Kluyveromyces lactis: one gene and its partners. The protein of the gene in region 1 binds, or shares a complex with, the protein of each later gene. Links are inferred from orthologs where the notes say so. Each region holds a gene or a part of one and is shown on either strand. Other genes may lie near its edges.

The links. Proteins that work in one complex are often made in the same cells at the same time.
Region 2: RPP0 (region 1) and RPP1A share a complex: the UniProt entries of both Saccharomyces cerevisiae proteins name them as parts of the large ribosomal subunit. The link is inferred for Kluyveromyces lactis from reciprocal best matches to the Saccharomyces cerevisiae genes RPP0 and RPP1A.
Region 3: RPP0 (region 1) and RPL38 share a complex: the UniProt entries of both Saccharomyces cerevisiae proteins name them as parts of the large ribosomal subunit. The link is inferred for Kluyveromyces lactis from reciprocal best matches to the Saccharomyces cerevisiae genes RPP0 and RPL38.

The regions. Positions count from the first base shown.
Region 1 is NC_006038.1:531,982-535,307, reverse strand, and holds RPP0 (60S ribosomal protein uL10), read left to right. Parts: upstream 1-1,301; coding exon 1,302-2,237; downstream 2,238-3,326. Other genes in the region: ribonuclease P/MRP protein subunit POP6, read right to left, coding at 168-629; KLLA0_B05885g (uncharacterized protein), read left to right, coding at 2,570-3,326. UniProt on the Saccharomyces cerevisiae protein: Component of the ribosome, a large ribonucleoprotein complex responsible for the synthesis of proteins in the cell.
Region 2 is NC_006041.1:1,966,682-1,969,363, forward strand, and holds RPP1A (ribosomal protein P1), read right to left. Parts: upstream 955-2,682; coding exon 634-954; downstream 1-633. Other genes in the region: KLLA0_E22001g (60S ribosomal protein eL13), read left to right, coding at 1-176; SIP5 (Sip5p), read right to left, coding at 1,612-2,682. UniProt on the Saccharomyces cerevisiae protein: Component of the ribosome, a large ribonucleoprotein complex responsible for the synthesis of proteins in the cell.
Region 3 is NC_006039.1:1,608,943-1,611,411, forward strand, and holds RPL38 (60S ribosomal protein eL38), read left to right. Parts: upstream 1-1,599; coding exon 1,600-1,836; downstream 1,837-2,469. Other genes in the region: transcription factor IIF subunit TFG2, read left to right, coding at 1-946; KLLA0_C18238g (PEX28-32 family peroxisomal membrane protein), read right to left, coding at 2,434-2,469. UniProt on the Saccharomyces cerevisiae protein: Component of the ribosome, a large ribonucleoprotein complex responsible for the synthesis of proteins in the cell.

The DNA of each region.
Region 1 (3,326 bases):
ACATGGCAATTGCGATATTGTAGCTATTTACCAAATAAATTGGGTACGATATTTTTTTTGACGATCGGAATTTGTTCACTGTCCGCCCTGACGGATCACAAAGGTATATACAATATGTTTTGACTGGAAGCGTTATCAGTATACTTTAAATTGTGTCAACGTTGAAGTTACGATTGTTTTGTGAATTTATTAAGGCTTTTGACTTCTTGTTTAGTGAATAAGGTAATAAGTATAGGCAAGTTGACTTTTCTATCCAATAGTTCATTACGTCCAGCCTTGATTTCAATAAACGAGTCTAGTTTATTAAATTGATGTAGTGCTTTCCCGTTTTCAGTAGTCTTGAAGATCTCTATTATCGAAAGTGCTTTTTGTACATGAACTCCATAAGCAACAAGTACGAATGTATCAGCAGTGATAGCTGCGAGTTGATCCACACATTGTTTAATATTGGAGTTTTTACTGTACGAAATAATTGCTCCTACAGATGTCTCAGACGCATTGTTCCAACCTGCACTTCGCAGGGTTTCTGGGATGATTTTTTCTTTGATGTAGGTCGAACATTCTACGTAGGTGGAAGGATCTATGCCTTCTACTTCAATTTCGTTATATTTTAGTTTGGAAGAAGCCATCGTTGTTGCTTTGTAGCTAATTACTCAACTAAGGCGAGTTTCTCATCGATTGAATTATCAATACTCAATGCTACGATAACTTGGGAAGTTATTGTAGATTTCTTTTCGACGAGATGGGATGAGCATTGATACGATGAAAGCTATTCTGCGGACTGTTTACACCCTTACATATGTAAAAAATGTCAACACAACACCCATGCACCTTGATAAAACTCCAAAGGAATTAATTTCCTCTTTGACTAGTGGTCACGTGCATTTAAACAATGCAAACCCGTTGTATTAAGCAATACAACGTTAAAGTATTAACAAGTCCGGCATATGGATTGAATCCTCAGCACCAGATGGTTTTCAAGCGTAGAGGGTACATCCTGATACCATTCACTCAAGCTCCTTCTTTTTTATAATATACCATATGAGTTACACCTATTTCTGTATGATTAACGGATGCTTGTTTGTTTTTCATGTGGGCCTTAATTTGGAAATTGGAAAATCTCAAATTTTTCATCGCTGAGGGAAACCAAACTTGAAAAATATTGAATTTTATGATAAAACGTCCTTTACATATGAATATACATAATTGGATGTTAAGTACTTGATTAGATTTGTAGTTTGTATATAGTTTACAAGAACCACAGGTACTACCTTAAACATCCTATCACTAAAAAAGTCGAAATGGGGGGCGTCCGTGAAAAGAAAGCTGAATACTTTGCCAAGCTAAGAGAATACTTGGAAGAATACAAGTCTGTCTTCGTTGTTGGTGTTGACAATGTGTCTTCCCAACAAATGCACGAAGTCAGAAAGAACTTGAGAGGCAGAGCTGTTGTCTTGATGGGTAAGAACACCATGGTCAGAAGAGCTGTCAGAGGTTTCATCTCTGACTTCCCAGACTACGAAAAGTTGTTGCCTTTCGTCAAGGGTAACGTTGGTTTCATCTTCACCAACGATTCCTTGCAAGATATCAAGGAAGTCATCATCGCCAACAAGGTTGCCGCTCCAGCCAGAGCTGGTGCTGTTGCCCCAGAAGATATCTGGGTTCTCGCCGTCAACACCGGTATGGAACCAGGTAAGACTTCTTTCTTCCAAGCTTTGGGTGTTCCAACCAAGATTGCCAGAGGTACCATTGAAATTGTCTCTGACGTTAAGGTCGTTGACGCTGGTAAGAGAGTCGGTGCTTCTGAAGCTTCTTTGTTGAACTTGTTGAACATTTCTCCATTCACCTACGGTTTGACCGTCGTTCAAGTTTACGACAACGGTCAAGTCTTCCCAGCTTCCATCTTGGATATCACTGACGATGAATTGATCTCTCACTTCATCTCTGCTGTCAACACCATTGCTTGTGTTTCCTTGGCTGCTGGTTACCCAACCTTGCCATCTGTCGGTCACTCTTTGATCAACAACTACAAGGACTTGTTGGCTGTCGCTATCGCTGCTGACTACATCTACCCAGAAATTGAAGAATTGAAGGACAGAATTGAGAACCCAGATGCTTACGCTTCTGCTGCCCCAGTTGCTGCTGCTTCCGGCTCTTCCGAAGCTGCTGCTGAAGAAGCTCCAGCTGAAGAAGAAGAAGAATCTGATGACGACATGGGTTTCGGTTTGTTCGATTAAACACCTTATAATTATGGAAACAATAACAATTAAATTTTAAATTCACATATCGGTTTCAGATGATCAATCTGTATCTATAAGTTTAGTTAGTCTTTATTAATTTCTATCTTAAGCGCACAAATCTTATCGCATCAAATTATCGTGTCTTCATGGCGACAATTTATTTGTTTTTTGCCTGTCTAAGCGGTCCGCTCCATAGTAGTGTAGGTCAGATTATTGCTAATATTTGAAGAAAAACTGACGTCGGACACAAACTAGATTACCGTTCACTAACAGTTTGGTCAAAGTTGATGGCATAGCTTAGCAACTAGCACACAGGCGGTCTGATTAAGATGTCTTTATCGGTGAGGAGTCAAAGTCAAGATAATAAAGTCCTCTCAGATCTGTCTGAGAAGAAGTCATTTTTCAAACCTTTCCAGCAAGATAAGGATCTTGATGATAATCTAGTTTCTTTCGACCATGAAAGAGAATTCGTACAAGATCCTACTATTGGATCTAGTATCAAATTGGATGGTTCAGATGTGATAAAGTTTTCAGTTCGTGTTGACGAATCTTTCAGACTAATTTACGATAAAAATAATAATGCTTTAAAAGATGGTTCCAACACTCAAAATAAAAGTGAAGAGGCAGACAGTGAGAATATAGATATCATCGAAGGGGAGTTTTACTGGAAAAAGCTCAATAGATTGCTTGATGAGGACATTCTTCATGTATTCGAACCAAGAACTTCACATTTCATAGATTTCATTAATTGCCTCGGTGATGTCCCTGATTTATCAGATACAGAGTCATCAAGTGGATTCCTAGTTAACGAAGAAGATATAGTAGGCAAACACAAAGAATACGACATTGAGAACAGTTTAGCAGATCTTGGTGAGGTCATTTTGCAATGGGATATGGTATTAGGTATCTTTCAAAAGGTTAAAGATTTGGACATTGAAATGGATGTACTAGAAAAAAGTATAGACCTAGTAGCGAGATTTGTAAACGCTTCCCCAGATAATACTCTCTCAGTACTACTCAAAAAAGCTAAAGAGGAAATTGATAATTCTGAATGTAAATTTGTTGAAGGGAGGGGCAATTGTTTGG
Region 2 (2,682 bases), on another chromosome or scaffold:
CTGCCTCTTTCCCAATTGTCCAACCAGTTACTGACTCTGAAACCAGAGCTGTTGAAGACAACGGTGAATCTGCTTACAGAACTTTGAGATTGGCTAGATCCGACAAGAGATACAAGGGTATCAGAGAAAAGAGAGCTAAGGACAAGGCTGAAGCTGAAGCTGAAAAGAAGAAATAAGCAACTCCATACCTTTTATTCAAATACTAGACAAAACGTTGTTTTATTTTATAAATATCTTTTAATCAAATTATCTTTCCGTCATTAAGAATTAATGTCACCGCATCCCCTTTCTCAATAAGTTTCCTGTTTGGTAATTATGAGACATTGTCTACCGTGTAAAAAAACGTATAAACTATAATATTTTACATCTAATTCAAATTATCAGATTATCAATTTGTCTAATGATATTATGGAACCTTATACGATCCTACTTATATTTCAAAGTGTCACTAGTGATGAGATGCTTTGAAGATTGGACGTTTGTGTATTAAAAACGGTTGATTATATATACATATTTGTGTATACACTCAAATGATGTGTTATTTGATTCTCAAATTTAACGTAGTAAGTAGTAGCTTAATGCGCTAGTAATAAAAACAGAATTTATTCCTCCTATGTTAAAAGTTAACCTAATTTAATCGAACAAACCGAAACCCATGTCATCATCGGATTCTTCCTTGGCTTCTTCTTCCTTTTCTTCAGCAGCAGCTTCTTCGGCACCGGCAGCAGCACCACCAGTAGCAACTGGAGCAGCACCACCAGCACCAGCTTCGAACTTGACCAACAAGTCCTTGATGTTTTGCTTAGCCAAAGCCTTAGCAAAGATATCAGCCCAGATACCTTCAACTGGGACGTTGGCAGCTTCAGTCAAAGCCAACAACTTTTCAGAAGAGACTTCGATATCAGCATCAGCCAAGATCAAAGCAGCGTAAGACAAAGCAGTTTCAACAGACATTTCTAATGTAAAATTTCCTGGTTCTGGCAAGTGTAGAGATAATCAGATTAAGCTCGTAATGAAGCAGACTATTTCTTTGGTCCTTTGAAAATAAGAGAAACTAAATAATAAAACGATATAAGTAATAAGAATATTTCATAAAAGAAGCTTCAAATTGAACAAATGCCATCATGTGTAAAACAAATACTTTTCCTATCGAAATGTTAAATGGTTACTCCTGTAAGTTTTATTGATATTTCACATCTCATCGTGGAAAGGTGAAAAATTTCAGGAAAAGCTGCGTGGTTTCGTCAGGCATGATAATTCGTGTGATGTGATATAATGTTTCTGCATGAAACGCTGGATGTACAGAGTCAGCGTAGATGTACAAGGGAGAATCCCTGATATTGAGTCGGAGTGAGTCCGCAGATGGGTGCTATATTCCACATAATATTCTATGTTTTATAAACATATATATACTCGCGCGCAGTGTTACTGATGAGTGTACCTTGTATCTTAAGGTATGATGCGAAAGTTATGGGATTGTTAAAAGATGCATGCAAAGTGAAGTAATTTGCGAATGTGTTGATTGTATCTGTCGTTAGTCGTGAAGGTAATGAAGGAGACAGCAGTGCAGGAGAAAATGCTTTCAGTTCATGAAATAAGCTCCAAATTAGGTTAATGATCCTGCAAACTTAGTTTGATTGCTTGTTGGAGCATTTCGTCATCCAGTTCTTCTAATGTTTTCTGACGACGTTGAGGACTATTCCCTCCGTCAGGGCCTCCAACTGAAGAAGAAATGGATGCGTGTCTAGAAGGGTGTTCGGGATCAATTAATTGATTACTCATGTGTATTGCAGTAGCTTTTGCTGATCTTCTAGCGAGTCTTAATCTTTCTTTGGTTAGATTGATCTCCCAGTCAGGTCTTATAGAATCGGATGTTATCACAGACGGATCATCGGCTGCTATTGAGCCCCTACGAATTTGTTCTATAGTTACGAGTTCGTCATCTTCATTGCTGCTAGAATCCGATACTAGGCCTTCACGGTCCTTGTATTCGGCAATCTTGTATTCGGAAGCGTAGATCCCGTTGATTCCAGTCCGCACGTCCCTGCGCGGTTCGTATGTTACACCAAACTCTGCAGTGGCACAGTAAGGGCAATTGGCAGGTTCACTGACAAGAAGGTTGGGATCCTTCAATTCGTCCGGTTCTTGATCTTGAGTTGGATCTACCTCTTCATGCGGGAAGTGTGGTGCGGCACGCTTGATTTGGACGAAGCATTCAGTACAGATCGGTTGCTTGCAACATCTGGAAATATTCAAAGGCTTAGGAAAGTAGAGGAAACATATTGGACATTCTGCTCCATTTTTGTACAAAGTATATTTCAAATCATCACTGGGTAAAGCCGGGTTCTTTGCTTCCGTATGTTTTTTGTTCATAAGTTTCAGCTCAAGATACCGTTCATTTGCCCTCTCCTGCCAACCAACTCTTTTGAAATATAACCTTGCCTTAGAAATTTTCGACCTTTGCCTTCTTTGTTCCCTTTTCGAAGCGGTACTATCCAGTAGATAGTCAAATTCGTCATCGGCTAAATCACCGGTCGGAACTCCCTCAAATTCTTCTGGGTCCTGTTGAAATGAACAATGCAAAGGTAACCCATCAACAATTTTTATGACCTCTTCTCGAGTCCAAGTCTGATCAAATTCTTGCAATGGTGTGTAAAAGGGAGCCAACCTCCTTTCTATAAT
Region 3 (2,469 bases), on another chromosome or scaffold:
GATTAATAATGCGGACCATTCGATCCAGTTGTTGTTGAATGAGGATGAGGACAACAAGGACATACCGCACAAATATGACTTAGAGTTGACCAAGAAAGAAGTCACGAACGAGTACGTATTCACTGAACAAAATTTGAAGAAATATCAGCAGTTTGCCAAGGAATTGGAGTCGAACCCCGAGTTGCAAAGACAGGCATACATAAGGAAACAAGAAAGAGAGGAAGAGATGAAGAAAAAACAGCAGCAGATGAAGCGTAAGTACAACAAGAGAAGGTTTCAGCACCGTGTCATGACGGATAGGGACGGTAGAGATAGATACATCCCGTACGTGAAGACTATTCCGAAGAAAACTGCAGTGACGGGGAAAGTGTACCACGAATGTCAAGTGATGCCCTCGATAGACGATCCAAATTACCATACAATTGTGGAACATAGAAGACAAATCGTTAGAAACATCCACAAACCAACGGTTACGGTGCTTGACCAAACTCCTGGTGTCACTATGAGTAACGCCGGTATGTCGATGAGATCCGACACTTCCAAGTTCTTAAAAGTTGGAAAGGAAAAGAAGAACAACGCAAGGGCTATCCGTTTGCCAAAGAAGGAACTTTTGGATCTATTGTTCAAGTTGTTTGATGAATACGATTATTGGTCCTTGAAAGGTTTGAAGGAGAGAACAAGACAACCAGAAGCATATTTAAAGGAATCGCTAGATCAAGTTGCTATGCTTGTGAAAAAGGGTCCGTATGCCTTGAAATATACTTTAAAATCGGAATATAAAAAGTTGAAGGAAGCTGAAAGAGCTGCTACGCTTGGTGAATTGGCACAACACGCTGATCCAGAACAACAGCAGCAGATTCAAGACCAATTTGATCAACAACAACAACAGGAGAACGAGCAAGAGGAGGAAGACTTGGAAGACGTGGAAATGGAGGATGTGTTGTAGAACCCTTCAAACATAGTATATATATATATATATATATATATATATACACATAATCATGCCCCACCGGTTATCTAGTAAATGAATGGATATCTTATTCATGATGCTGGCATGTCTAGTCCTGTGATGTATTCTTGTGACCTGAACCAATAGTAGGATTAAAGAATTCAAATCACGTGATTAACAAAGGACTGTCCATTGTTAAAATAACACCCATACACTCCAAACACTGAAAAATAAAAACCCACACATCCGGATACAAAACGAGAAAATTCTCAATTGGGTAGTATAATACTCAAAGAAACCCAAAAAATCTCTAAAAGCCAACCTCCTGACACCCACACACCATCAACTAAACTTTTCACCAATCTCATCGACTGTGCTCATTGAGTATTGTGCAATTGGCAAGCCAGTAAACGTTTAGTTTCGAACAACTTTCGACAGTTTTAACGTTTTAGATTTTAACATTTGTCGTTAATAGTGGTGTTTTGTATATGTCCATTTAGTGTTTTTTTGATGTTTAGCGTTTTTTACATTGTATTATCGGTTCTTGTTTAGTATTCTTTATAACTTTTAATTACAGTTTATTAACTCTTTTGTCTTAATAGTTTCTGTGAATCTCCAAGCATCAACAACTAGGAAGTACATTAACAAAAATGGCTAAGGAAATCGCTGATATTAAGGAATTCTTGGAATTGATCAGAAGACAAGATGTCAACTCTGCTACCGTCAAGATCAACAAGAAGTTGAACAAGAACGGTAAGGCTTTCAGACAAACCAAGTTCAAGCTAAGAGGTTCCAGATACTTGTACACCTTGATTGTTAACGATGCTGGTAAGGCCAAGAAATTGTTGCAATCTTTGCCACCAACTTTCAACGTTAACAAGTTGTAAGGGTAGTCTAGAGAGACACTAATACTTTCTTTAATACCATATCAACTGTTTTTTTTGGAAATTCCACCAATCGTCTGTTTCAACCCATGGTGTGGGGTAAGTACTCTTATTGAATTGAATTTAAATTGAATTTGAATTGATTTAATTACCAGCACTTTGTACTGGCAATTTTTACCTGAGGAACGAACCATCCAGATTGAAATGAACAAACTCGTCAAATAAGTTATAATAAACGCATACTTTTTATCTGCATTCTTTCATTGATGAGACGATAAGATTACTACTCTAATGATGATAATACAGCTTGTATTAAGCGTCCAGTGGTAGGTTTTTTTTACCTGTGTTAATTGTCTTTGCGAGCTTTTAAAGTTTTATTTTGGGCTTCACAAGGAAAAATGACTGAGGTTATACACAGTATGAATTTTCCCTGGTATTATTAGTACAAGCTCTGTTATATCGTCATTATCACTGCATGATTATTATCTCATCTATTTTTTTTATTTGTTTTTGGTATATATGAGTATATAGGTGTGCTTTAAGCACGCTATTCGATACGAGTTGGAAACTCAGGGGACAGGCATACTTCGCTGTGAAATGCTACCTTGGAGTATCGTCGGAAGATGCAAGATTTGA